Lonchura striata: one gene and its partners. The protein of the gene in region 3 purifies or fractionates together with the protein of the main gene of each other region. This does not show direct contact. Links are inferred from orthologs where the notes say so. Each region holds a gene or a part of one and is shown on either strand. Other genes may lie near its edges.

Region 1 (9,308 bases), on a different chromosome or scaffold from region 3:
GGGCTGGCCCTGGCGACAGGGACCCCCACCCCGGCCACCCCCGAGCCCCCCGGCTCACCCCGGGCACCGTGTGGGCACCAAGGGTGGGCAGCCCCCGGGAATCCCGCGAGCACCCAAGGGTGGGACCAAGGGGTCCCCAGGGGGCTGGGGCTCAAGGAACTGGGACCCCCAAAGAAGGGACAGGGACCCCCAGCTTTGGGATCCCTGGGAACCCCCACGAGACTGGGACACCCCAAGGGGCTGCAGCCCAGCGGGTGGGACCCCCCGGGCAGGGTCTGGGGGTGCCGGGGATCCCGGTGACCCGGGGCTGTCCCGGTGTCCCGGGCTGTCCCGGTGTCCCGGGGGTGTCCCGGTGTCCCGGGGCTGTCCCGGTGTCCCTGGGGTGTCCCGGTGTCCCGGGCTGTCCCGGTGTCCCGGGCTGTCCCGGTGTCCCGGGGGTGTCCCGGTGTCCCGGGGCTGTCCCGGTGTCCCGGGGCTGTCCCGGTGTCCCTGGGGTGTCCCGGTGTCCCGGGCTGTCCCGGTGAGGCGGGGCTGTCCCGGTGTCCCGGGGCTGTCCCGGTGACCCGGAGGTGTCCCGGTGTCCCGGGCTGTCCCGGTGACCCGGGGCTGTCCCGGTGACCCGGAGGTGTCCCCGGTGACCCGGGGCTGTCCCGGTGTCCCGGGCTGTCCCAATGACCCGGGCTGTCCCGGTGTCCCGGGGCTGTCCCGGTGTCCCGGGCTGTCCCAATGACCCGGGCTGTCCCGGTGTCCCGGGCTGTCCCAATGACCCGGGCTGTCCCGGTGTCCCGGGCTGTCCCGGTGTTCCGGGCTGTCCCGGTGTCCCGGGGCTGTCCCGGTGTTCCGGGCTGTCCCGGTGTCCCGGGGCTGTCCCGGTGACCCGGGGTTCCCCAGCTGCGCTGCTCGGCGCTGCCGGAGCTGCTGCGGATCCTGGTGCGGAGCAGCCGGGGCAGCCTGCGGCCCCTGGAGCGGGGTGGGCACCGGGCGGGGGGCTCGGGGGGCTGGGGGGGCACCGGGGCTTGGGGAGTACCGGGCTGGGGGGCTCCGAGGGAGATCAGAGGGGTCTGAGGGGTCTCAGATGGGTGTGGGGGGGCTCGGAGGGGTCTGGGGGTGGTCAGAGGGGTCTGGGGGCTCGGGAGGGTCTGGGGGTCTCAAAGGGGTCTGGGGGGCCTCGGAGGGGTCTGGGGGGGCTCAGAGGAGGCTCAGAGGGGTCTGGGGGTGCTCAGGGGGGTCTGGGGGCTCAGAGGAGGCTCAGAGGGGTCTGGGGACGCTCGGGGGGGGTCTGGGGGCTCTCGGGGGGTCTGGGGGAGCTCGGGGGAGTCTGGGGGGCTCAGAGGGGTCTGGGGGTGCTCGGGGGGTCTGGGGACGCTCGGGGGGGGTCTGGGGGTGCTCGGGGGGTCTGGGGGAGCTCGGGGGAGTCTGGGGGGCTCAGAGGGGTCTGGGGGTGCTCGGGGGGGTCTGGGGGCTCAGAGGAGGCTCAGAGGGGTCTGGGGGCGCTCGGGGGGGTCTGGGGGCGCTCGGGGGGTCTGGGGGTGTCGCCTGCAGACGGAGGGTCTGTGACCCCCCCCCGCCCCGCTGCAGAGTCGGTGCCGATGGACGGGAGCCCCCCCCCGCTCAGAGCGGCCCTGAGGAGGGGGCGGCCGGCCCTGAGGAGGGGCAGAGCCCCCCCCGGCTCGGGGCCGGTGCCCGGGGAGCGGATCCGCGTGAACGAGCCCGGTGAGGCCGCCCGGGACTGCGGGGAGGGAACGGGAGGGGAGGGGAGGGGAGGGGAGGGGAGGGGAGGGGAGGGGAGGGGAGGGGAGGGGAGGGGAGGGGAGGGGAGGGGAGGGGAGGGGAGGGGAGGGGAGGGGAGGGGAGGGGAGGGAAGGGAACACCCCCACCCCGAGCCCTGACCCCCCCCGGCCCCGCTGCCACCCCCCAGCACAGCGAGGGGACACCAAGGGGACACACAGGGGACACGGGGGGTGGCAGCAGGGGGACACCGGGTCCTGCCAGCGGCTCGGGGGGCAGAGGGGAGGAGCGGGGGGCTCCTGGGGGGCTCAGAGGGGTCTCAGAGGGGTCTGGGGGGATCAGAGGGGTCTGGGGGGGGCTCAGAGGGGTCTGGGGGGATCAGAGAGGTCTGGGGGGGCTCAGAGGAGGCTCAGAGGGGTCTCAGAGGGTTCCAGGGGTCTCAGAGGGTTCCTGGGGGTTCCTGGGGGTTCCGGGGGGTTCCTGGGGGCAGGGGGATCCTCTGCCAGGCGCTCACAGCTCCATCCCCCCGCACAGCGAGTACCCAGGAGCTGCTCCGGGAGCTGCCCGAGAAGCTGCAGCTGCGCCAGGCTCAGTGATGGGCAACTCTGGGGGTGCCCGCTGCCCCCCACTCTGTGCCAGCAGCCAGCAGGACCCCCCCTCACCCTCAGGAAAACTGTCCCCAGTGTCCCCCGGCCTGTGGTGGCACCGGGGAGGGAACCCCCCTCACGTTTTGGGGGGGCACTGTAAATAAAGAACCCTGTGCCCACCCAGCCCCTTCCTGCTCCTGGCACCACGGGGGTGTCACAGGAACCCCAAAGTGCCCCCTGGCACCACGGGGGTGTCACAGGAACCCCAAAGTGCCCCCTGTGCCCCCAGCACGGCCGGGTCACACCCACATCCCGATTTATTCTCCGGGGGGGCACGGAGTGGGGAGGGGGGGGTGAAATTGTGATTTTTGGAGCTCACTGAACCAAATGAATCGAGCGTTTCAATTTTAGTTTGTGGAATTCTGCGTTGAATTTTTACCTTCTGCCCGAGCAACCTTTTGCCACGGTACAAAGGGAGCAGGAAAATGCGAATTTGGGAAGATTCTCGCCTAAAGGGCGATGGCAGCGGAGGCAAAGAGGCAGATAAAGAAGCTCCTCTGCCTCCGAGCTTATCGAGAATGACCGAGCTACTGAGATAAACACACAAAAAGGAGAAAAGCTCAGGAGTTTAATCAGGAAAATACCAAAAATACCAAATCTTCAGCCTGAGACCACAGCAAACCCCCCAAACTGCCCAGACGGGCGTGGACCCATTTAGGACAGGGGTTGAATATATGGAATATAATATGTATTTATTGACGTGGAACATCTTTGTGAATGAAGTGCGGCTCACACCGAGGCTGGGGCACAAATCTTGGAGGAATATCTCACTGTGCCAACGTGCCCACTCCAGAAACGCACCAGCTTGTGGAGTTTTTATTTAATTTATTTATTTATTTGTGTGTTTATTTATTTATTTATCCCGCGGGTGCCGAGATTTATTTCACTTCACAAGGAACAGGGTCAGTGTTTGTGGTCCTGGCCCTGTGGCCCTGGAGCCCGAATCAAAAAATTTGGATTTTTTGAGGGCAGCAGCCTCCCCAAAAATTCCAAAATGGCAAAAAAAAAACCGGTCCAGACCGGGTCCGGTGCTGCCGGTCCTGCTCCGGCTGGGTTTGGGCTCCCCCAGCCCGGTCCCGGTCCCGGTTCGGTTTCCCCCAGCCCAGGTCGGTGCCGGGTTCATGAACCCCAGCCCGGCCCCAGTCGGGTCCCGGTCCCGGTCCCGGTTCCGGGTCCCGGTCCCGGTCCCGGTCACGGTCCCGATCCCGGTTCCTGGTCCCGGTCCCGATCCCCGGTCCCGGCCCTCGGTCCCCGGTCCCCGGTCCTGGTCCCAGCTCCTGATCCCGGTCCCGGTCCTAGCCCTCGGTCCCCGGTCCCGGTCCCGGTCCTGGTCCCGGTCCCTATCCCCGATCCCTATCACGGTCCCGGTCCCGGTCCCAGGTCCCCGATCCCGATCCCGGTCCCGATCCCGATTCCAGCCCCCGGTCCCCGATCCCGGTCCCGATCCCGATCCCGGTCCCGGCCCCGCGCCCCGCCCACTCCCGGAGGCTCCGCCCACCACCGCTCGCAAAGCCCTCTGGGTAATGGAGTCTCCTTTTAAGGGCGCGCAAAGCCGCTCCAGGACTACACTTCCCAGAAGACTTTGCGGCGGGGGCAGCAGACAGCGCCGCCTGCTGGCTCGGAGCGGGAGCGCGGCCATCGCTGCGCTGGGTCGGGGGGGGACACGGGGGGACAGCGACCGGGAACCGGGGACACCGACAGGGGACCGGGGACACCGACAGGGGACCGGGGACACCGACAGGGGACCGGGGACAGCGGGGACACGAACGGAGCGCCAGCACCGCCGTGGGCTGCGGGCAGCGTGGGCAACACGGCTCAGGAGGACGCGGCCGCGGGAAACTGAGGCACGGCGCGGGCGCGTCCCGCGACCCCCGGAGGTTCACGCGCCGCTCCGGCCCCGCAGCTGCGGGACCGGGGGGGCCCGGGTGAGGTGACCCCGCCGTGCCAAGCCCCGGGACAGCGGGAGCGCGTCCCCGCGGGCCCGGGCCGTGTCCCCGGCAGGTGGCGGCCGCGGAGCGCGGAGCTCCCCGCGTGTCCCCGTTTCCCCGCTCCGAGCGCGCCGACCCCTCCCGCCCCCGGCTGCCGGTCCCGGTGCACGGACCGAGCCGCCCCCGCGCGCCGCCGCGGGCATTGCCGCCCCCCGGTGCAACCCCCGCTCCACCGACGGACCCCCGGTGCAGCCCCCGCTGTACGGACCGTTCCGCCGCCCACCGAGCGACCCCCGCTGCCGCCCCGGTGCACTGACCGAACCCCGATCAAGGAACAACCCCCGGTGCACGGACCGAGCCCCCGGTACAGCCCCAACTCCACGCACTAAAACCCCGGTGCAGCCCCCGACCCCCGGTGCAGCTCCGGTCCCACGGACCGACTCCCGCCGTGCAGACCCCCATGCACGAACCGACCTCAGGGACCGACACCCGGTGCAGCTCCCGGTCCCACAGATCACCCCCCGGTGCACCGACCGACCACCGTTGCAGGTCCCGGTGCAAGGAACGACCCCCGGAGCGGGTCCCGGTGCAGCCCCCCGGTGCAAGGAACGACCCCCGGTGCAACTCCCGGTGCAAGGAACGACCCCCGGAGCGGATCCCGGTCCCACGGACCGACCCCGGCCCCCGGTTCCCCCCCGGTTCCCCCCCGGTTCCCCCCCGGTTCCCCCCCGGTTCCCCCCCGGTTCCCCCCCGGTTCCCCCGTTCCCGGCCGGTCCCACGCCCGTCCCGGGGGGGCGCAGTTTCAGGGCGGGGTTTCCCCCACGCTCCCCCCCCCCTCCGTTTCACCCCCACGTGGGCCCCGCCGGCGGCGCCCAATCAGCGCCTCGCCCGTGGGCGGCTCCGCGCGGCGCAGCCAATGGGCGAGGCGGGGGCGCCGCGCGAGGCCCCGCCCTCCGGCGGGAGGCTATAAAAGGCGGCGCCGGGCGCGGCCGGCGTTCAGAGCGATCGTGCTGGAGCGGCGGCGGGAGCGGAGCGGGACCGGGGATCGCGATAGCGCCGCGATATCTCCGCGATATCCCCGCGATAGCCGCGCTCGGGATTATTGCTCTTGGAGTTTGCTTTCTTCTTCTGCGGATTACAATTGCACCATGACCCTGGAGGAGCTGGTGCCTTGCGACAGCAGCAAGTAAGTGGCGGCGGCTCGCGGCGTTCGGCGGGGGGGTCTGCGGTTGTCGCCGCCGCCGCTCACCGGCTCCGTCGTTCCTCCCGGCAGGATGCAGGCGGTGAGCGAGGCGGTGGAGCGGGTGCTGGTGGCGGCGCAGCGTCAGGACCGCCTCACCGTGGGGGTCTACGAGTCGGCCAAGCTGATGAATGTGTGAGTATCGCGACAGGGCTCTGTCGGGGGGTCTGTCGGGGGGTGGCTCATCTCGGCCCGCTTAGAAAAGCTGGCTCTTGCTAGGAGCTTTTATGGGGTGGTGACCAGGCAGAATATGGGGGATCTGTCCCCCACTCAGTGCGACAGGGAGGTGACACGCGTGGGGGGGTGACAGCTCCGTGGGACGGGGTTCTAACTCGCCGCGGCCCCGCAGGGACCCCGACAGCGTGGTGCTGTGCGTGCTGGCCACCGACGAGGAGGACGAAGGCGACATCGCCCTGCAGATCCACTTCACGCTGATCCAGGCGTTCTGCTGCGACAACGACATCCACATCCTGCGCGTGTCGGGCATGCAGCGCCTCGCTGCCATCCTGGGCGAGCCCGAGCCCGGCTCCGAGCCCCGCGACCTGCACTGCCTCCTGGTCACGGTGAGCGCGGCGGGGACGCGCCCGGTGCCCCCGTGCCTCGGTCGGGGAGGGTGGCGGGGCGGCTCGGGGACGCGCGTCGGGGCGCTGGTGGCACTAACATCGTTCTCCTGCTTCTCCAGAACCCGCACACGGACGCCTGGAAGAGTCAGGGGCTGGCGGAGGTGGCGAGTTACTGCGCCGAGAGTCGCGACAGGAACCAGTGGGTGCCTTACGTGTGTCTGCAGGAGCGCTGAGCCCTTCCCGGGCTGGACTTGGAGGATTAAAAACATTAAAAAAAAAATAAAAACCCAACACAAAACAACAGGGGAAAAAAAAAAAGGGAAGAAGAAACAGCCAGTTCCAAGCCACAATCCCCAAAACCCACCGATTTTATTTTTCTTTTGGACCGGAGAGGAGGAGGAAAGGGGAGCGCGGCCGCTGCGGTGGGAATGGAGGAAACCGTGCCGAGCCCGGAGGGGGACGCTGGCCGGAGCCCGGGTGGACACTGGCCGGAGCTCCGGTGGACACTGGACACGGGCACTGGCCGGAGCCCGGGTGGACACTGGACACTGGCCGGAGCTCCGGTGGACACTGGACACGGGCACTGGCCGGAGCTGCCGGCCGAGGAGCCGTGCTGGACCGGGAACCGGAGCCGAGTGAGCCCCGGGCGGGCGCTGCGGAGCGCGGGGGGGTGACCCCGGAGTTGGACATCGTCGCGATTTTTGGGCAGCTGGGACCCGATGGAGGCGAGGAGTGCAGAAATCTGGATTTTTAAAAATTTTTCTTTTGGTGCAAAAACTGCTTTTTTCAAGGAATTATGGACGTCCGCACAGATGGACCTGCACCTCCCGAGTGCTGCTTTTGCACTTGGAGACCCTGAGCTGAACTTTTTCCAGAGTTTATTCTTCTACTGAGCGAGGAACTAAATTTATTTGCAATAAAATGTCTGACGTTAGTGGTGTTTGCTCTTCCCTGCGCTCTGCTGGAGCCGTTCCCAAGGGAGCGGGATCGGCGCCTCCTGGGTGGGTTTTGGGGTGGGCTACACCTCCCCTAAGGGCTCTGCACGCTTTTGGGGGGGGCCTTTTGTAGGGCCGGGGGTTCCCACCCGTGTGTGGCCTCTCTGCTGCTGCTGGAGGAGAAATTCCCACCCCACCCTTCTCTGAAAAAGGGGTTTTTTCCAAGAAAAACACCCACGAGGTGCCCTGAGCTCCGTGGGAAGCTGAGCACGGGCTCCCCCCGGGCTCGGGGCTGGAGTTTTCCCCCACCCGCGCGGAAACCGCGGCCGTGGGAAGCGGCCCCGGGGCTGCCCGCGGGGGTGGGGGCACCCCGGGGAGTCCCCGCGCCCCCATCCCCTCCCCCGGCCGCGGTGGGGGAGTTCCCTCCGTCCTCCGGGGGTGGGGACAAGGACAACCCCGAGGGCTCCGGGGAAACTGAGGCCGGTGCGGTCGGGGCTGGGTGGGAAATGGGGACCCGCGGGGGCTCCCCGGGACACGCGTGGGGGGCTTGGCGGAGCGGCTGCGGCTCCCCTGAGCTGGCCGTGCCCCGTGTCACCCGCGCGGTGTCACACGGGGTGAGCGGGAGCGGTGCCAGCCCCGGCACGGAGCCCGGCCGGGACACGGCGACCGGCCAGCCCCGGTCTGGGGACGCCGTGGCCGGCCCCGAGTGTGGCGCGGCTCGGGGACGCGCCCTGCGCCCTCCTTTGGGGTTTTGACTGCGGGGGAAACTGAGGCACGGTGCGTGACAGCCACCGCAGCGCCACCCCGCCGTGTCCCGGCGGTCCCAAGGGACAAGGGGGTGACAGCACCACAGCACCCTCTGGGTGGCCCAAACCGCGACCCCCCCGAGGTCCCCCAGCTGTGGGGTGGGGGGGGCGCGATGGGGTCGCGCTGTTCCCCGGGATCCTCCCGGGAAAATCCCGCAGGGAAAGGGCCCGAGGGCGGCTGAGGCCGCCGCAACTCGTTTCACTGATGAGGCAGCGCGGTCACGAGGCCATTCCTGTCGCCGCTGTCACCGCGGCCGTGCCGCTCGTGTGACCGGTGTGTCAGGCCGCCGCTGTGTCACGGGGCCGGGAGGGGTGACCGTCCCCCCCAGACCTCCCCTGTGCCCCCCAGACCCCCCAAAATCTCCCTTCCCACCCGCAGGAGCAGCCCCCCCCCCCCCCCCCCAGCCGGGTCACGCACATGCCACCCCCCCCACGGTGTCCCCGTGTCCCCTCCAGGGACACCCCGAGTCACCCCAAACTGCAGCCGGGGCCCAGAAACCCCCACAGACACCCCCCCCCCATGGACCCCAAACCCACGGAGCCCCAAAAGTCCCCCCAGCCGGGGTGGGGACAATGGGACGGGACCGCGCTGGCTCGGGGATCCCGGCCGGGCTCTGACCCAACTTTGCACCCCTCGGAGCCGGCCCGGACACGGGGGGAGGTTTGGGGGTTCGGGGAGGGGTCCCTCACTCACCCCCACCCCCCCAGCGCCGGGAAAAGGAATCCAGGGCTGGGAATGGGGGTCCTGGGGGGACCCCCCCCATCACCACCGCGGGATAATTCAACCCTGGGTGATAATTAGGTCATTAATAATGAATTAGGAGGTCGCAGCCAGCCCTGGGGTGCAGGATGGGTGTTGGGCACCCCCCAAAAAGCCGACACGGGGTGGGGGGAGGATTTTGGGGGGCGGGAGGTCCCGGGGGGTGACACGGGCGGGGTTCGGGGGCCCCGAGCCCCTTCCCGGCTCCGGGGCGGCCGCGGCCAGACAGGGCAGGGCCGGAGCCGCTGATTTACGAGTCTGGCCTGGGCGGCTCCGGTGGCTCCGGCGGCTCCGGTGGCTCCGGCGGCTCCGGCGGCTCCGGTGGCTCCGGCTCCACCCCGGGAGCGACACCGGCGACGAGAAACCGTGGGGGCGCCGCCCGCCCCGAACCCCCCTAACCCAAAGCGACATGCCCAAGCTCTGGAAATTGGGGGAAACTGAGGCACGGAGCTGTTCCCCCCCCACCCACCACCACCACCCTTCCCCCGCCGGTGACACCCGGAGCAGGATGTCCCTCCGTGATGTCACCGTGGCGGCCCCGTCGCGTCACGGGTGTCCCCGTGTCACCCGCGTGGGGACATCGCGGGATCCTCCACGGAGTCCCCGCGGTCGGGGGGGTCCCCGGCAGGAATGGGGGGGGTGGCCCCGCTGCTGTCCCCGGGCCACCCGGTGCCTTCCCGGTGGCAAGGAGTTAATTAGGG
Region 2 (9,672 bases), on a different chromosome or scaffold from region 3:
TTACGTTGCAGATTTGTCATTTCTGTATGAAATTACAGACCCACTTTTGATAGAGAATAAAAAAAAAAATTCACCTTTGTTTGACAAATCTCTTTGGCAGAGCTCCAAAAATCAGCCTGGCAGAGCAACCTGCTGCTTACCCTGTGCAAATTATTTTTGTAACCAGAGTGTTTTTTAGTAGAAAAAGACACCAGCAGCAGCGTGGCTCTGCACCAGTTCCTTTTCACCGAGTCTGCTTGCCACACACCTGGCCACAATTAATGAGCTCTGTTAATTGCTCCTGTGGGGCTGAGGGGAGGGAGGGAGCCCCGTGCTGCCAGTCCTTGTTTTCCCAGGGATTTGGGAAGAGATTGGAATATTTTTTTGGGCTGCAGGGACGTTTTTGGTGTCTGCCCTTCAGAGACGCTCGTGGCAGGGTGCTGATCCAGATGTGGGCTCCTGCCTGGTGATCCAGCACAGCTGCCCACATCTGGCAGCGTTTAATGCCGAGATTTTTGGTGAACTCACCATTTTAAAATACAAGAAACGCCGAAATCTGGAGTGGTTAGGTTTGCTCTTTGCTATCAGTACCCCCAGAAAGAGCAGAGATTGTAAAATCTGGGGAAATGCAGGCTCTGCCTTTGTAGCTTTTTAAAAAATAAGCGAAACCATTGCATCCACAGGTAGTGGGAGAAACCCGTGGTGAGACCCCACCATGGGGCTGCCCCTCTTGTCCTTGGCCAAGCTGGCTGATCTGGGGAGAAAAATGAGAATTTGTGTGATTTGGGGAGAAAAATGAGAATTTGTGTGCTGGGCCAGGTTCCCCCAGGACCCCCCACTTTGTGGTGTGGGGACAGGGCTGGGGGTGACACTGGGAGAAACCAGAGGGGTTTGGATTGAATCTGAGCTTGGAGAAATAAATCTGCTGCTGCTGCTGCAGTGGCCCCAGGCACAGGGTGGGACCTGGGCTGGGGACAGGGACAGGGTGGCCTGGTGCTGGAGCATCCCAGGAGTGGGAGAACAGGTCCAGCCTCCCCTCCCGGCCTCCAGGAAACCCTGGGCCAGGTTTTGCTCCAGCAGGGAATCAGGATTTCCACCTGCCAAGGAGGAGCTGGAAACCCCATCAGCAAAACCCTTTTTTGTTTTTTTGTTTTTTTTTTTTCCATTTTTTTTGTTTGTTTTTTTGGTTTTTTTTTAGTGCCTGTTGCAGCAGCATTCAAGCAAATTAAATAAATAAATAAACAACATTCCCAACATTTCCTGCAGCACACGGGCTGCTTCAGCCTTTAATTGCTTGGGAGGGGCCGGGAATGAACCCACACTGGAGCTGCACAACAGGACCTTGCCCATGGCCAGGAGGAAGCAGCTGCTGCTCACTGCTCAGCCTCGTGCAGTGAGGGAATAAAAGCCTGGGCCAAAGGTTTGATTTTTACACTTTATTTCAAAAAAAAAAAAAAAGAAAACACAAAACAAGACCACCATAACCCCAAAAATACACTCGAATTTCAAACAATTATATTAATGGCGCTGCTTTTGCAGCCAACTGGGAGAAGATTCATGGTTGCAGACCAACTGCTTGAGGGCATTTCGGTTCTCAAACCACCAAGTATAAATAATTTTTTTTCCATTGATATCAGAAAATAACTTATTATTATTATTATTATATATCTTAGCATAAAAACGTGAGAATTACATCCCAAAAGTACAACAACATTGCTGGCAAAAGGCCTCGATGAACCTGTTTGCTCGTCAAGGCGTTCAAAGCAGGAACTTGAAGTGGCACTTAAGGACAGAGGGAGCGAGGGGAGTTGGGGCTGGGCTCATCCTGTTCTCCTCATCTGCCACACTCGGCATCGCTCCACCGCAGCCAAACCCCCCGCAAGTGACATCAGTTTTAGCGTTATTGTTTTACATCTACGTTTCGTTGTTGCTGTCGGGTTTTTATTTTCCCTCCCGGAGCCGGGGGCAGGGAGTTCCTTCCTGAGCGAGAATTTCTGCGGCGCCGCAGCGGCCGGGCCGGGGTCACCGCTCCGGGAGGTTGATGACCGGCACCCACTGGTCCAGGTACCGGCTCTCCCGGCAGAAACACATCAGCTGGCTCAGCGCCGGGTCCTTCCACTGCGACGCCTGCGGGTTCTGCAAAGGGGACGGCAAAAAAACAAATTAAAAAAAAAAACAAAGCTCCGGCACGGCAGCAAAAACAAGCCCAGAGCGGCGGGCGGGGGCTGGGGGGGAAGCGCAGGAGTGTGAATCATCTCAAATTGCTGGCGAGGCAAACAAACAAGTCGGGCCTGGGAGCGCGTCAGGAGCTTTAGCTTTGGACTCTGGGGCAGAGGAGGGAAGGGGGGAGGGAGAAAAAACCAGGAGGGAGAGATAAAAGTGGGGGAAGGGAGGGAAAGAAAAAGGGAAAAATAAAGAGGGAAAGGAGGAAAGCAAAGGAAAGAAAAGACGGAACAGGGGAAAGAGGCGAGGAACAAAGGAGGAGCCGGGGCACAGCGGCGAACGGGGGCGAGGGCGGCGGAGGCACCGCGGGACCCCGCGCCGCCCCGGGGCCGCGGGTTCGAGCCCCGGGCGCGGCGGCTCGGGGGTCCCGAGCGGCGGCGGGGAGCCCGCGGGGGCAGCCCGGGCTCACCGTGACGAGCACGCAGTGCAGGTCGGCGGGCGGGTCGGGGCCCGCGGCGGGCAGCAGCAGCTCGGCCAGGCGCGCCGGGTTGCTGACGCGCAGGATGTTGATGTCGTTCTCGCAGCAGAAGGCCCGCAGCAGCGTGAAGTGGATCTGCAGCGCCGCGTCCCCCGCCTCCTCCTCCTCGGCCGCCAGCAGGCACAGCACCACGTTATCGGGGTCCCTGCGGGGCAGCGCCGTCACCGCGGGCGCACCGGGCAGGGCGCACCGGGGGGAGGACGGGGACGGGGGGGGCACTCACACGTTGAGCAGCTTGGCCGCCTCGTAGACGCCGAGGGTCAGGCTCCGCTGGCTCAGCGCCTTGCTCAGCACCTCCTCGAGCGCGTCCCCCGCCTGCTCCATCCTGCGCCGGGACACGCGGCACCGGCCGTCACCGGCCACCCCGCGCCGCTCCCCGCCCGGCCCCCGCCGCCCCCCGGCCTCACCTCCCGGCGGCGCGGCGCTCCCCGGGCAGCTCCTCCAGGGTCATCACGGGGCTGGGGCGGCCAGGGGCTGGGGTGGACAGGGGCTGGGGTGGACAGGGGCTGGGGTGGACAGGGGCTGGCGGACACCGCGCTCCGGCCGCTGCGGCCGCTCCGGCCCCGCCGCCCGTGCCGGACAAAGGCGCCCCGCGCGCGCCGCCCCGCCCGGCGCCCGGCCCCGCCCCTTCGTTTGCATAACCAGCGCCCATTGGTTCATGCAAATTAGACCACGCCCATTGCGTGCCGGGTCCGGCCGGGCCTGGCCGGGATCGGGAATGGGAACGGGAATGGGAATGAGATCGGGATCGGGAATGGGAACGGGAACAGGATCGGGAATGGGAACGGGATCTGAGCTCTCCCTGGATCCTTCTCCTCTCCAGGGGAACATTCCCAGGGGCTCTGAGCTCTCCCTGGATCCTTCTCCTCTCCAGGGGAACATTCCCAGGGGCTCTGAGCTCTCCCTGGATCCTTCTCCTCTCCAGGGGAACATTCCCAGGGGCTCTGAGCTCTCCCTGGATCCTTCTCCTCTCCAGGGGAACATTCCCAGGGGCTCTGAGCTCTCCCTGGATCCTTCTCCTCTCCAGGGGAACATTCCCAGGGGCTCTGAGCTCTCCCTGGATCCTTCTCCTCTCCAGGGGAACATTCCCAGGGGCTCTGAGCTCTCCCTGGATCCTTCTCCTTCTGTGTTTGCCACAGGCAGCCACGCTGCTGCCCCTGGATCCCTGGCAGTGCCCAGGCCAGGCTGGACAGGCTGGAGCAGCCTGGGACAGTGGGAGGTGTCCCTGCCACGGCAGGGGTGGCACTGGGTGATCTTTAAGATCTCTCCCAACCCAACCCAGCCTGTGGTTCTGCGATCTCTCCCTTTGCAGCTTTCCAAGAACTTGGTGCTTGTCCGGGAAGCTGCTCCTGCTCCAGATGTCCCGTGTCAGCCCCGAGACCTCCGGGCAGGATTTCTCCTGGTGGCTGCTGTGTCAAAGCTTTCTCAGCTGCTGCACCCAAACCCCTCCATCCTCCCACAGCCGCTGCCAGAGCTCTTTCCCAACCTGGCTGTGGGCTGGCACATTCCCACCGGCCCCACGGCTGCAGTCAGGACCCTTGGTGGTCCCTTACGGAGATTTGGCAGCGTGTGCTTTAAAGTTTGGCTTGTGCCGGTGTTTTCCTGCAGCTCCTGAGCTCCAGGAGCCGTTTCCACAGCACAAGGTGCAGAGCGATGCCAGATCCATGCAGCTCCTGCAGAACCCCTGAGGGAAATGAGATATCACAGAATCCCCCTCTGGGAAATGAGGTATCACAGAATCCTGGAGTGGTTTGGGCTGGAAGGAACCCCAGGGATGGTTTTGTTCCACCCCCCCATCTTGCTCCAAGTCCTGCCCAATCTGGAACACTTCAGGGGCATATCAAAGCGTTTCTGCAGCAGAATAATGAGGGTGATTTCTGCGCCCCCCGGCTGTGCTGGCTCCGGGAGGAAAACCTCCCAGGGCTTTGTTCTGTCCCCCCGGCCCGGCTCTACCCTGCCCTGCTGCCGCAGCCTGGTGAGAGCCGGTGTGGGGGAAAGGGAGAAAAGCCCTTTTTGCATCAGGTGGAGGGGCGGCAGATGGCCGGACCGCAGCAAAACAGGTGGGAGCATTGTGCGGTGACCCTCCGAATTAAGTGCGCTTAATTTGCTGTATCTCTATTAGCAACTGCGGGCTCCGCCTGTGCCTCCGCAGCCCCATCTGTGCCGGCCCCAGAGCTAAATCTGTCTGGGAGGCAGCTGGGAAGCAGCTGAAGGCTCTTTTCCCCTCCCGGGGGCGGCGGGCAGCGCTCTGAACCCGCGCTGGCCCCGCGGCTCTCCCGCCGTCTCCCGTTCTCCCGTTTCCCGAGGATGCGGGATGCGGGCTGCGGGGTGCGCGGGGACAGCGCTGGCCGTGCCGGGATGTGCCGTGGCCGCCGGCCCGGGCAGCCCGGGATGGAGCTGTTGTCCCTCCGTCAGCTCCCAGCTGGCAGCTGCTGCTGAACCTCCTTTCATCGCCTGCCAAAAGCGGCCGCGGTGTTTGTCTCCCCCCCTGCCCTTTAATCCCGACTTTCATCATTCTCTAGGCCGGGCCTGCCCTCCCCTCCTTCGGCGTGGCAGAGTCGGGGGTCGGGAGCCGTGTGGGGCTCAGGCTCCGCCGAGGGGCTCAGCTCTTCCCCCCACTCGGCAGAGCCTCACCCCGAATGTTCTCTGGGCTGCGGGGCTGAGCTGCCCGAGCTCGGAGGCGGCTTGGACAGCAATGGGTTAACCCCAGGGATGTGGGAGATGCCCACTGGAGCCCCCGGTGGGGGAGGACGTCTGGACCAGCTGCAGAGGCGCTTCCCGCACCTCAGAGCATCAGCTTGTTTAATTTCAGATTTTGGGAAGGAGACCAGCCGTCAAACAGCGGCAGTGAGAGGTGACAGAGCCCCATCCCTCCGGAGCCCCGGCAGCCGGCCAGGCCCTTCCCGGGGGTGCCTCGGGGTGGTCCCGGCCCTGAGCCCCTGGAACAGTGCCGGGATGCTGCTCCCGTTCCCTTGGCTCCTGCTGTCCCTCCTTGGGGTGCCCCCGATCCCCCTCCCTCGTTTCCCTGCTTTGTCCTGTCCCAGGTGGGACCTTTGTCCAGCCCCTTGGCTGCTGTGGGAAATCTCGCTGTGCCCGTTTGCTGGGACACCCCTGGGCACCCCAGGCTGCTGTGCCAGGGCCACCGAGCGTTCCCAGTGCCTCTGGATCCGCTGGATGCAGAGCAAACGCCAGCTTGCACATTCCAGGGACGGCCTCTGCTCCGGGAGCCGCCGTGTCCCCGGTGCCACCAGTTCCGTGTCACCGAGCTGACCTGCGGTGCCCAGGCACATCCACCTTCCCAGAGCGGGGCATCCCGCCCCGGAGCCGTGCAGGAGCGGATCCCCGGGCTCTGGCAGCCAGGGAACCTCGGCTTGGCCTCCCCGTGGAGCAGGGCAGGAGCCTGGGAGTGCCCCAGGATCCACCCGCCCTGGCACCATCAGTGCCACATCCTCTCCAGCACCGGCAGCACAAGGACAAGAAGACATTCCCCCCGTTTTCCTGGGAGTCCCCCCACCCCTGCTGGAGCTCAAAGCGGGGTTCAGCTGCAGCCACCCCTGCTGCTGCTCGGGGTTTGGCTTTGGGCAGCCCGGGAGCTCACGGCACAGCGGGAAGGGAAGCCCGGGCCCGCCTGGCCTTGGCTCTGGAGCTGGGCACGGTGCCGGCAGCTTTCTCAACCACCCAGGTCATGGGAGTGCAGCCGAGAGCCCGGCTCGGTGGCACGGAGCAGGGCTGGCACCTCCCCGGCACGGAGCAGGACTGGCACTTCCCCAGCACGGAGCAGGGCTGGCAGCTCCCCGGCACGGAGCAGGGCTGGCACTTCCCCGGCACGGAGCAGGGCTGGCACTTCCCCGGCACGGAGCAGGGCTGGCACTTCCCTGGCACGGAGCAGGACTGGCACTTCCCCGGCACGGAGCAGGACTGGCACTTCCCCAGCACGGAGCAGGGCTGGCAGTTCCCCGGCACGGAGCAGGGCTGGCACCTCCCTGGCACGGAGCAGGGCTGGCACCTCCCCGGCACGGAGCAGGGCTGGCACTTCCCCAGCACGGAGCAGGGCTGGCAGCTCCCCGGCACGGAGCAGGGCTGGCAGCTCCCCGGCACGGGCATTCTCCTCCTGCCTGGCCCCAGCCCCTTTGCGGGCTCCTGAGCGGGGCTCAGCTCCCGCAGAGGTGGGAGGGCAGGGGGCTGGGGCGCCGGGGATCTGGGATGTGTTTATCCCGCACTCAGCACATTCCTGCAGCCCGCCGTGGTGCTGGAAGGTCGCCGAGAGGGAGCCGGCTCTCCCTGGCTGCGGCAGGAGCTCTGCAAACAGCGAGCACGAGTGGGAGCCTGGGAGTGCTCCAGTGGCTTTAAACTGAAGGAGAGGAGATGGAGATTGGAGATCAGGAGGAAATTCTTGGCCGGGAGGGTGGTGAGACCCTGGCAGCTGTGGCTGCTCCGTTCCTGGAAGTGCTCGAAGCCAGCTTGGACAGGGCTTGGAGCAGCCTGGGACAGGGGAAGGTGTCCCTGCCTGCTCCCCAAGGGAGTGGGACTGGAGGAGGTCTAAGGTCCCTTTCAGCCCAAACCACCCCAGGATTCTGTGATTTCATGGCTCACCCATGTCCCACCACCCTGGGTAAATATCTGAAATGTCTTTTCCTTCTGCTGAAGGAGACTTCCTGCTGGAATATCTTTTCCTTCCCCAGCCCAGCAAGTCCCTGCTCAGCTCCTCGTGCCTGTGGGTTCAGGGCAGCAGAAGGCTGTGCTGCTCCTGGCAGGGACGTTCCCTCTGCCCTGCATGCACCCTCCACCCCTTCTCCCTGCAGAATCAGGCGTTTTTCCCAGCCTGGCCATGCCGGGCACGCGTGGCAGCCCGGGTGGGAACCACCCGGCCGGGCAGCGCCGGGCGAAGTCCAGCCCGGGGACAGAGAGAGCCGCGCTGAAGTGAAAACAAACTTTTTCCATTTCTTGGCAGCGTGGGGCCATAAAGCAGCGCACCAGTGGCGCTTCCACGTGGGAACACTTTCCTGTGCCGTGCTGCCAACACCCCCCGGCCCGGTGCTGCCTCCCGCAGGGAATTCCCTGTTCCCGGGCGCTTGGCTTTCCCCGGGCCCGCAGGAGAGCTCCGGTGTGAGCACTGGGAGGGCCGGACCCTCCCCAAACCAGCCCCCAGGCGTGCCCGTGGGATCCGGGAACGGGGGTGGTTCAGCCTCCAGCCACAGCGACCTTCACTGATGCTCCTGCGGGCAGCGGGGAGCTCGGGGCAGGGATGTTAAATCATTAATCTGGATTCATTTTGTCTCCTATAAATGGAGTGGGAAGAGTGATTGGAAAGCAAAGAGGAAGGAGCGTGGAGTGAAGACCAGGGTTTGGTGGCTGTTGCAGTAGAGATAATGAAACCGAGGCGTTTATTTGGGAGCAGATTTAAATATATAAATTAAAATAAATAATATAAAATGTATATAATGCCTATGAAGCCCTATTTCAGAGCTGTCTCCAGCTCTGGGGTCCAACATCAGCAGGACCTGGAGCTGCTGGAGAGAGCCCAGAGGAACCCCCAGAGCTGCTGCAGGGCTGGAGCCCCTCTGGAGCCAGGCTGGGAGAGCTGGGGGGGCTCCCTGGAGAGGAGAAGGATCCAGGGAGAGCTCAGAGCCCCTGGGAATGTTCCCCTGGAGAGGAGAAGGATCCAGGGAGAGCTCAGAGCCCCTGGGAATGTTCCCCTGGAGAGGAGAAGGATCCAGGGAGAGCTCAGAGCCCCTGGGAATGTTCCCCTGGAGAGGAGAAGGATCCAGGGAGAGCTCAGAGCCCCTGGGAATGTTCCCCTGGAGAGGAGAAGGATCCAGGGAGAGCTCAGAGCCCCTGGGAATGTTCCCTTGGAGAGGAGAAGGATCCAGGGAGAGCTCAGAGCCCCTGGGAATGTTCCCCTGGAGAGGAGAAGGATCCAGGGAGAGCTCAGAGCCCCTGGCAGGGCCTGGAGGGGCTCCAGGAGAGCTGGAGAGGGGCTGGGGACAAGGATGGAGGGACAGGACACAGGGAATGGCTTCACTGCCAGAGGGCAGGGATGGATGGGACATTGGGAATTGGGAATTGTTCCCTGGGATGGAATTCCCAGAGCAGCTTTGGCTGCCCCTGGATCCCTGGATCCCTGGCAGTGCCCAAGGATGAGGTTTGGAGCAGCCTTGCCTGGGTTCAGTCCCTGCTCAGGGACAGGGAAGGGAAGGGAAGGGAAGGGAAGGGAAGGGAAGGGAAGGGAAGGGAAGGGAAGGGAAGGGAAGGGAAGGGAAGGGAAGGGAAGGGAAGGGAAGGGAAGGGAAGGGAAGGGAAGGGAAGGGAAGGGAAGGGAAGGGCTCAGGACGGGCCGCCGTCGCTCTGGTGCTCTCTGGCGGCCGCAGCGGGGCCGGCACCGGGAGCCCCGGCAGGAAAAACGCGTTTGGTTTTGAATTTCAGCGTGGTTTTGCAGCGAGGAAAAAGAGAACGGTGAGCCCAGCCTCTAGCCACGGGATCCTGACGTGGGGTTGGGCTCTGTCTGTGCTGAACCCCCCGCTCCGCTGTGGGGCCGCAGGCTGGGAGCCACCAACATCCCAGGGAGCCACTTGGGCTGCAAAACCAGAGGGAAAAGGCTGAGAAAACATCCCGTGGAGAGGATGGAGCTCAGGACAGCCCATCCTGATGGCATCTCCACACCAAACCTGTCCAGTGATGCAGAGAGCGAGGGAGCCCTGGGGGCATGTGGGGGTTGTGCCCCAGGCCCAGAAGCTCTTTAGCAGGAATTAGAGGTGACAAACAAGCAGAAAAAATGCAGCAGCACAGGGAGCTGCTTCCTGCCTGTTCTCATGGAGCAGCAATGTCCCGTGGGGCAGAGCAGGGCTGGGGGCTCCCTGGGTGTCACCGTGGCACTGTGACACTGCTTTCCACCTGCCACGGGGGGATGAGGAGCTGCCCCACATGCTGAAGCAGCACCTGTCAGGCCAATGCTTTAACATGAGCCTGTAACAAGGGTGACTTATTTTTCTTGA
Region 3 (9,736 bases):
TTGGAAAATCCATGTAATGCAATGGGACTTCAGTCCTCTGCACTATTTGGAGCATCCCAAAAGCTCAGCGGTAACACCCACAGAGAGTTCGATGGAGAGAGTGAAGCCAAGTAATCGAGGCATGTGTAACTGTGGCCTTGTTATCACTTACTGAATGGATATTCTACAGCCAAAATGCCAAAACCTTTACAAATACTGCTCTTAGAAAAAGCAACAGCAAGTAAACCAGCAGCACAAGTAAGCCGAGGGCATAATAAACCATATATTCACACCACATTAAAAAGCAACACATGGTACTCAGTACCACTGAATATCAGCAGGACACAGACAGAACAGAACTAATTTCCTCCTTCTACCCTAAGACTGAAGGAGACATTCATCAGCACAATAGTTACAGCCTATCTTGTCTGGCTCCAGAATAAACCTGATAGGGTTTCATGATAAATTAATGTGACTTTACATACAGCATTCTTGGACTGGACACAAGTGAACATTTGACAATTCAGTAAGACTCAAATTCAGATGTTAAAAGATTTTCATTTGGCTTTATGTTTCCAGTAAGCCAAGAGTGAGCATGGGACTCCTGTCAACTCTTCAAATAAATAAGCTTCTAAGTTATTTTTTAAAATTCAAAAATTATTTAGTCAATAAATTACAGACTAAATGTAGCATCAATGCAGTTAACATCTCTGAGAGAAGAATAAAACTGAAGGAAAGTAACAGTTTTGTGAACATAAACGTTGTAGACAACAGCAAATCCAACCACACAACTGAAGAAATGAGCTGAGATTCCTGAGCTGACAGAGGTCAACACACTATTGACTAGCAGTTGGTACTATGAAAAATTGTCTTCTAAATGTATTTTAGCTGCAGTTTAAAATAATGGTGTGTATGCAATTTAAGAAATGTGGTTGTCATGGAAGTCAAATCTTTATAAGCCTCTAAAAATCCCAATTAGCTCCCTGAAGTAAGAATTACTGCATATCTCTTATGCTTTCCTTTAAATTCAGTAGATTTGTTTTCATCACAGCACAGTTTGCATTCCACAAAGGTCAATATCACTAGCTTACATAATAGCAAAACCAACCTTGACAGAGACAGCACTAATTAACAGACATAAAAACAACCCAAGCAGCCACACAACACAGACTAATCCTTACTGCTACCAATGCCAAAGACATCTCAACGAGCACTTCATGTGTGTTTGTGCGTAGGTGGAGCAATCAGTCATTCATTCCAGTCTTGCACATGTAAACAAGAAAATGCAATACATGTAGAATAGAGATTACATCTCACTTCATTTAAATGCATGAGAGAAAAAAAAACTATGGCAAAGCTCTATATACTTAAATCATTTTTCCCACTGAAGCTATGATCTTAATAAAATAAGCTCCTTCACTGCTCATATACTATCAGCCATACAGATAGTCTGGCAAGCAGGAAAATATGTTGAGCACAATTCATGACATAACCTCAGGCTTTCCCCAAACCACAGATGCTGCAGACTGACAGCCCCAATTCATTGTCATCCTAGAGACAACAAATCTGGCAGAGAGACTACTGACAAGCTCTCCAGCAAGGAGGAAGCCTCCACATAATTCACAATTCTGTCCCACCTTATTCACAGCCTTGATCCTTCCTTCACCCCTTGCACTGGATGTGTGCTAGGAGAAAAGAGGGCTACAAGCAATCAAAGCACAAGTCAGGGTAGCCCTATGTCTCTTCATGCCTTTGCAGTGCCCCCAAACAAAGGACAGAGTCCCAACAAAGGACATGCTTAAGGCCTCATTTTTCTCTACGGTGGATTTTGTGCCAGAAAATTCTTGGGAAAGCCTAAAATTGGGCTTGAGAAATATAAAGCCTATGGGAAATGGTCAAGAAACACTAAACACATCCGTTTTAATTGGCATTCTAAATTATCTAAGTGGAAACATTTTAGCTTGAAAACTTTCCACTTGTTTTAAGGATTGATACTTAAACGTGAATTCTTCACTAAATCTTTCAGTAGTATCTTTTCACTTATCCATAACCACTGCATGCTATCCAGGGTCAAAGTGCAATTCTACCTCAAAATCAACATTTGTTCATAGCTTCCCTGAGCATTTTTCAGTTTAGAGCTGTCTCCCCTCTCTCCCCCCACCAAAGTGTGTTTCAAGAATGAAAATAAGACCTGGGAAAAACACAGTGTTTTTGGAGAGGGATTCATAATCAAAAGCTTTTGACTAAGGACTGTGTAATTAAATATATATATATATATATATATTTTATGTTTGCCTTCAGTTACAAAATTTACCATTGCATTTATATTCTAACAAGAGACAGACTCCTCACACAAAGACAAGCAGATTTCTCACATCAGGCAGTCTCAGAACAACAAATCAGTAAGTTTTGTTTATTAAACAAATGTAGGTGTATTGCTAATTCAGAATGACTGAATACTTCTCCACCAGAACTAAAGTTAACTTAAAGAGAATGCATTATAGCAATGCACTTTAGTAGCAGCCAGAACTCTTTATCATAAGAACACATTCATAGTCTACAAACAGGATTAAAAGTGATCTGCCATCAAATGGACTTCAAACGCCCAAGGCTGTGCAAAATAAACTGATTTCAACAAGATTCTGACCTCACAGCCCCAAGAATAAACAACTAATGATGGCTCCAAAATTTGAACCAAAAGAAAATCAGATATTTTACTTGTATTACATTTAAGTTAAAGCAAGTGCTGCATAAAGCCAGAGAAGCAGGTGTGAACTTGGGACACAAAGTACACGCAGAAGTGAATCACAGTGGATGGAGTACATGCATTACCCTACACAAATTAAGACTACCTAATTGTTCTGAGACATCCCCTTCCCACCTACCAGCTCACTCTGAAATAGCTAATTCAATTTTCATTTGCTGGGTAAAGTTGTCACCACATTATCCACACCCACATCCGACTCATATAAACTGTCCTGTAATAAGCAGAATCCAGCAGAGGTCAGAAATGGCCCTGCACAGGAAATGCCTGGGTGTTTTCCATTCAGGCTCTGAAGATTACTCTTCTGCATGAAGACAGCTCAGGTGTAGTGTCGTGCTGTTATACAAACTTTATTTTAAATCATTTTCTGCTTAACCTGCAGTATTAGTATTTGAAGAGTCCTTTAAAAAGGAACTTAGAACCTTACTAATTCCGTTGCCCTATAGCATTTATATTTCATAATATTTCTGTTAAATCTTACTAATTTTATATATATTCCGATTTTGGCATGACAGAAAAACAAATCGTTAGTGCACATTCATGAAAACTCAAAGGCACTGTTCAACCCCATAGCCTTGACCCACACAGGAGCACATCACCACTTCCCTTTTATTCCATCAGTACAGAACAACAGTTCACAATACTCAAGAACTATCTCAGCAACACCACAGCAGATATTTTGCACAGCACACCTGGAACACAATGCACCCGACTACTACATTACAGTATTAATTGATCACACAAGCGTTTTAAAAAGGTTTCCTGAATGCCTCCTAGCGAGAAGTGAAGTGCATCAACAGGATGTTATTTAAAAATGAGAAATAATTGCCACGGAATTAATAACTTGGACTTATGCAATACTTCTGCAGCCAGCTGGAAAAACTGAACCATAAAGTAATTTGCATCCCCATCTCTCAGCCGAGCACAGATGGAGACTCGCAAAAAGCCAATTGTAGAGGAGGTGACAGCAGTTGCAGAAAGCTTTGAGGCATCACAACACTTCTTTGTGAACGCTTTTTGTTTTTTGTGATTTTTTTTAACCCTATGTTCTTACAACTATCGATTGCAACGTTGCCAGCAGCGATACTCCATGACCCTGCTGTTTCACGGGCACGCCAAAGAGAACCCGATCTTAAGCACGGCTGCCATAAACACGAGACAGCCTCGCAGGAGGGCAGCGCTTTTATCGCTGCAGCTCACAAGTCAAGGAGCACAGGTCACGCTCCGTCCGCCTCCCGCGGGCTCCAGCTGCTGCTCCCGCTCCGCTCCGCAGCCTCCGGGAGCCGGGCGGGCACTGCCCCTACACACCGCTTGCACTACTGCGAGGCTGGGGGAGAAGGAAACTATTTGCTTTTAATTGCAAAGCGTCCACAAAACACTGCCTTACCCACCGCAACCACTAGAGATTTCTTATCGAAGCACCGTCTCGCTCCGTGGCGCTCCGCAGAAGCGCTGAAGCAGCAGCAGCCTCGGGTTCAGCAGCGCGGAGGGGCCGGGAGGCACAGCGTGCACCCCGGCCCCGGCGCTCGCAGCCCCGCCCGGCATCGCTCCCTGCACGGAGCCGGCGCTGAGGCAGCACTGGGTACTGACCTCCCCGGCGGCGGCGGCGGCGGCTCCTCCATGGCGGCGGCGGCGGCGCAAACCAGCTCGGCGGCGTCTCTCATGCATGCACCGGGGCCGGCATGGCGGCGGGCCCCAGTGCGCGGTGCGGGGGCGCAGCGCGGAGCAGGAGCAGCAGGAGGAGGGCAGCGGGTCCCTAGCCGGCTGCAGGAGTGCGGCCGCGCAGAGCCGCCCGCGCGGCCGCCATCTTGGGAACAGCCTCCGAGGGCAGCGGCGCCGGCAGCATCGCTACGGCGCGCCAGGAGGGACCGGCCGCACCAGAGGCGCCCGCTCCGCCGCGGCCGGACGAGGGGCGGCTCCCGGTGCGGGCTTCGCCGCTCGCCGCGGGGTCGGGACAGGCTGTGGGACAGCGGCGCTTCCCTCCGCACCGTGCGAATTACATCTCCGCGCTCCCCGCGAGGGGCCGCGTCTATCCCGAGGCGGGGCGGCGGTGGGGGCGCGGCGGGCGCTGCCGTCCCCTCCGTGCCCCGGCGACGGAGCTGCCGGGCGCTGCCTACGGCCGCTCACTGCGGGTGCCGCCGTCCCTGCCGCTGCTCGCTCCCACAGCGCCGGCACACAGCGAGAGAGGAAAAGTCTCACTGCGGAGGGGAAGGTGGTTTCCTGCAGCAGGTGCTGCTGCCTGCAGCCCTGCCGGCCCGAAGCCCAGCGCCTGCGGGGGCTGCAGCGGCCGCGCCCGGCTCCAAGGAGGGGAGGACGTGAAAGACCCTTTAGTGCCCCTTTGGGGTATGCATGGAAGAATAACCTTCTATCTTTTAGACTCTGCTGCTGACAGAGTAACTTGTTTGAATCTATGATCCTGGACTTTTTAAACCCTCCAGCAGCACTGGTTATCAGCCCCGGACAGAGAACTAGAGCCACATTATGCGGCTGGAAATACAGCGAGGAAAATGTGACTTCCTGAACTTAAGGTTGGCTGGAATATCAATATCAATATTAATTCCCGTCAAAGGCAGAAAAGTGCCACGGGTCGTTTAATTGTTAGGGTCGGTGAGAGGGAGTGTCCTCCTGTGTGTTACAGCACTGGAAGCACAGCAACAAACCTTGGGTCAGTAATGTGTACACAAAGCACACGCCTTACTTCTGATGGGTGACATTTGAGCTTGGACTAGAATCAGTTCTAGATTCTCCATTTTTGCACCAGTTTCTTCATTAGCTCAAGAAATTTGCACCTTTCTAGTCTGATACCAAAATTCAGCTGTAAAGTCACTGTTCATTAAATAAAGTTGTCCACCTCTCTGTTGAAGTTTAGGAAACAAATTCAACAGTCCTTTTGAAATAAAAGAAATTTTTTTTAAGCTGAAATGCAGGGTATACTTCTACTGTATCTACTATTTATCATCTTAATGAATTCACGCTTTAAAATCCAGGACCAGATAAATGTCATTATACAGGAAGCCACTTAGACTTTTCCATATGTCAAGAAAGATACCCAAATCACCATGACCCTGATGATCATGATATTGAAACATCAAGACATTCAAGATTTATGTCAAGAATTATTAGTTAACATTCTTCATGTAATGGAAAAACGCAGTATTTATCATGTCGAAGATTTTTGCTTGAGTACTTGAGCCCAAAACCATAAAGCAGTTCCAATGTCAGATGCACACAATACAGTCCCACTAGTCTGTCATGGTGAACAAAACCTAGAAACCATAGCTGAAGGACAAAAATTCTAAAGTGCTAAGCTAATAAATTAGTTGTCATCTCCATAAAAAGCATGTATTATCTAAGGTAAAGCTGCTTACTTCACAGTATGCATGTGTTTTTAGTATGATCACAAATAAAAAAAGCCAATGTTACAGTTTGAATTTGAACATTCTTTTCAGTTAGGGACCATTGTCTCACACCATCTCTGCAGCTGTTTGCAGAGCAAAGATGTATTTAGCAATCGTGGCAAAACATTTCAGCTTCTTTGCTTTTTCTATTAAAACAAGCAATACAGTGGTCTCTTAGAAGCACAGAGTTTTCATTAAATCTGATACTGCATTTTGCCATAGATGTGTTGTTGTGGAGGCGGTGCCATCCCAAGGTCCCCTTGGCAAAGGGAGGAATGGGGACTAACCACTGCCACTACTTTCTGTAAATATTAAGATAATTTACTGGAGTAAACTGTGGTTCACTGCAGCCTCTCAAACAAGGTGGTCCAGAAAACTCTTCCCTGTACACATTTTCCCCTTCCCCTTTAGGACAACCCAGCATATTGCATTTCGTCACATTCTTGTGGTATATCACAGAAAATATCATAGAACTACAGATACTGGCCAAGAAAAGCAAGGCTGTAAATTTGATACAGAGATGCTTTTTTAACTGCAATTGACCATGGTGAGCAACATAGCTCCTGGCATAAAGGAGAACATTGTAAGAGAAGAAGTTTATAAATGGCTTTATAGAGAACTTGGGAAGAAATTAAGAGATGCAGGAATATTTGGAGGTGATGGTACAGGAAGAACATCAGATGATATAAGAGCCTATATAGGAATATATTCGGCAAAGAAAAAATTTCAAGGCAACACAGAGGTCTTAAAAATTGATATGCAAAAAATTTTTAATTATTTTTTACTTCTTTTAAGGAATATCATCGTATTTCAGACTCCCTGACTACCAGTTTCTGAGTCTAAACAATCAATATTTCAAAGGTGCATGGAAATTGATAAATGAAATTGTTCTCTCTGGTCCTACTACTGGAACAGAAGAAGTCACAAGGTTAAAATACACATCACAATAAGTAGCACCTGTCTGTAATAAAATTGAGTTAAAATATTAGGAATTTATTTTATTGTCTGATGTGGCAAAATCATGACTCCAAAATTCCAGTTTAAAAAAACAAACCAGGAAATAAGTAACTGTCAAAATAGACAAGTTTATTTCAGTTTAACTTCTGTCTTCAGAAGTTTTAGAATTAATTTTCTTCTTTTTCTTCAGGAAACATCTGGCTTTATAATTTAGCAGGTGCTGCAATTGCTTAGGAATTACTTTTTATTCTAGCAACATGCCTTTTATTACAGTAGCAATCCTAGAATTTGCAATAGAAATTTGACATGGCAATAGCATCCTAATAACAAAAATATATCTTTAAAATAGCATTTTCAAATTTCTACTGCAAGTACCCTTGAAATTTCTGTCGATTTCTGGGGCATATATGCTGTTGTTCCTTCCTCCTCAAGTCATCACAGATATCAGACACAGTTGTACATGCAGCTGTGCTTTTGCCATCTGACATTTCTCCAGGTATTTTCTCTATACAAAATATCCTAATCTAGACAAAGAAATATTTGGTCCATTTAAGTAAATAAATACATTATAAGAATATATTTGAAAATTTTTCTTCTGGTACCTGTCACAAGGCCAAACTTCAAAACATTTTTTTCACACTATGAATATTGCACAGAATAAGGCACAACTTGGTTTTGGGTTTTCTTAAGTCATGTAAATGAAATCTCAGTAAATGAAATCTAATAATCAGATTTTTCTTCACTGTGTGAACTACATGCAAAAAAATTTCAAATTCTTAACAAACCCAGCTTTGTACAATTAGTTTTTCCTTCAAATAAGTTATTTATTTTAATTCTAATAAAATCTATTTTAAAGTAAAAGCAGAGGTAATCAGACATTAGAAAATAGTCTGCTAGGTATAGTTAGTCTAGATTTAGTAAAATGTGCTGAAGACGGAATATTCATTTTTTCTTGGTCATAGGTTAGAAATGCTCTTCTGCAATGCATTGAAGAGTAAAACATGAACAATACATGCATTTAATATCTAGAACACATCCTGACACCATTTCTTATGTAGACATTGCAACTAGCATCTCCACAGTCCAAATAAAATACCAAGATGTATTTCTACCTGGGCATATGCAGATTCCTCCATATACAGTTTCGTTCTTCTCACAGAAGATCAGGTTGGGGGTGGCATTGAAAGAAACAGAACCCAGTTTTCAGTGTTATCTAACCTGAGCATTGCTGCAATTGATTTGAAGTGTGAAGCTGAAAGAAATTAAGGAGTCCCACTGTATATAGGCCTGTTCAATCACCCGTTACTGCTGTGATTCATTCACTTGGGAAGCTGGCACGATAGCTGCCAAAGCTTGTTCAGCAGCATGGTTTGACACCCGTGCTATAATAGGAGCTGGCTAACTTGATGGAGGTGGAATATTTCTGTCTGAGCACTGTCATCTCACAGGCTGCATGTCGGATTGCACAGGGCTCAATACCATTAATTCGCCACTATTAGAGGAGTATTTGTTAGTAAGAGTAGCATGAGGTCAGAGACATTCCTGTGATTATTGTTTTATCACTGCAAATGGGCATCACATTATTTTTTTTAGGTACATCTTGTCCTAAAAAGCAACTCTATGTAGCACTGCCTCTGCATTATTAAAACAGCATGACCCAAATGAGACAAGTACAAAATCCAGTTGTGCTTAAAGCTGTATGCTTTTACTGTCTGGCCCAAAGCTGGTCTTTGGGCTCAGTGTCTATAAAGCTGGGCATAGCTAAACCCACTGTCTGCTCTTCAAAGATACCAAGGCACTAGACTTAGAAATTATCTGAAACTGAAAATGTTGACACATGTATAGCAGTGTGGCTACAGCAGTTTACATCTTCCCAATAACTGATTTTGACCTGTGAAAATCAGCTGCACTGAATTCAATGCTACTTGAACTTGCTTATCAACAACAGACTAAGCTTGCTAGGTTCCTGCTAAATCATATTTTAATTCTTTCCCCAGGCATATAATAGACATACTCAGTGAGAAGCCATGGGGCATTTATAAACACGACCAAATGCTTGTCTGCATTGGTGTTCACTGCATTAATTTCATGTTCAAAGAAGCTCCAGTGAAGAGCTGGGGCCAATTCTTTGCAACCCTACTTGTAGGCTCAGAGCATATCTATTTATCTTCTGTGTGTGCCTGACAGTGCAATCCAATGCACTGTTGCACACAACTCTTTCAACGTTTTCAAGCATCTTGCAAGTTTGACTAGTTACTTATACCAAAATGTATAAAGTGATGCTTCTTCTTTCCATCATCCCAGAAAGCACCAAAAAAAGTTCCAAACTATATTTTTTTTAAATTATCTGGTTGTGCAGCTGAGATTTGCCTTTTAGTAGCTGTGTTATCCCAGCAGAAAGCAGCTGTGAGATTTGTATCAAACTTCCCTGTCTGGGAAGGCTGGAGCTGCCCATGTCTCCTCTTTCCCACTGTTATTTTTATAAGTGAGAATAATCACAGAAAAGTAGCTGGCATTTTCCTTTATCCCAGCAGGTCCTGGCAGTTGTATCAGCTGGACGGAGTCATAAACAGCCATGAGAAAATTTTAATCTTCATTAAATGTTAATCCCTACAAACACATACACATCAGTTCACTT

Evidence for each region.
Region 1: the proteins of MAP3K4 (region 3) and GADD45B purify together in Homo sapiens (co-immunoprecipitation; 3 studies listed by BioGRID and IntAct, counting the BioPlex papers as one, with this or other methods). This does not show direct contact. The link is inferred for Lonchura striata from reciprocal best matches to the Homo sapiens genes MAP3K4 and GADD45B.
Region 2: the proteins of MAP3K4 (region 3) and GADD45A purify together in Homo sapiens (co-immunoprecipitation; 3 studies listed by BioGRID and IntAct, with this or other methods). This does not show direct contact. The link is inferred for Lonchura striata from reciprocal best matches to the Homo sapiens genes MAP3K4 and GADD45A.

The regions. Positions count from the first base shown.
Region 1 is NC_134630.1:6,070,396-6,079,703, forward strand, and holds GADD45B (growth arrest and DNA damage-inducible protein GADD45 beta), read left to right. Parts: upstream 1-5,311; 5' UTR 5,312-5,451; coding exon 5,452-5,489; intron 5,490-5,576; coding exon 5,577-5,678; intron 5,679-5,892; coding exon 5,893-6,106; intron 6,107-6,225; coding exon 6,226-6,339; 3' UTR 6,340-7,040; downstream 7,041-9,308. Other genes in the region: STAP2 (signal-transducing adaptor protein 2), read left to right, coding at 892-970, 1,579-1,713, 2,263-2,324.
Region 2 is NC_134611.1:5,082,289-5,091,960, forward strand, and holds GADD45A (growth arrest and DNA damage-inducible protein GADD45 alpha), read right to left. Parts: upstream 3,185-9,672; 5' UTR 3,132-3,184; coding exon 3,088-3,131; intron 3,006-3,087; coding exon 2,904-3,005; intron 2,826-2,903; coding exon 2,612-2,825; intron 2,116-2,611; coding exon 2,002-2,115; 3' UTR 1,611-2,001; downstream 1-1,610. UniProt on the Homo sapiens protein: In T-cells, functions as a regulator of p38 MAPKs by inhibiting p88 phosphorylation and activity.
Region 3 is NC_134605.1:36,156,093-36,165,828, reverse strand, and holds the start of MAP3K4 (mitogen-activated protein kinase kinase kinase 4), read right to left. Parts: upstream 4,602-9,736; 5' UTR 4,408-4,601; coding exon 4,334-4,407; intron 1-4,333. UniProt on the Homo sapiens protein: Component of a protein kinase signal transduction cascade. Activates the CSBP2, P38 and JNK MAPK pathways, but not the ERK pathway. Specifically phosphorylates and activates MAP2K4 and MAP2K6.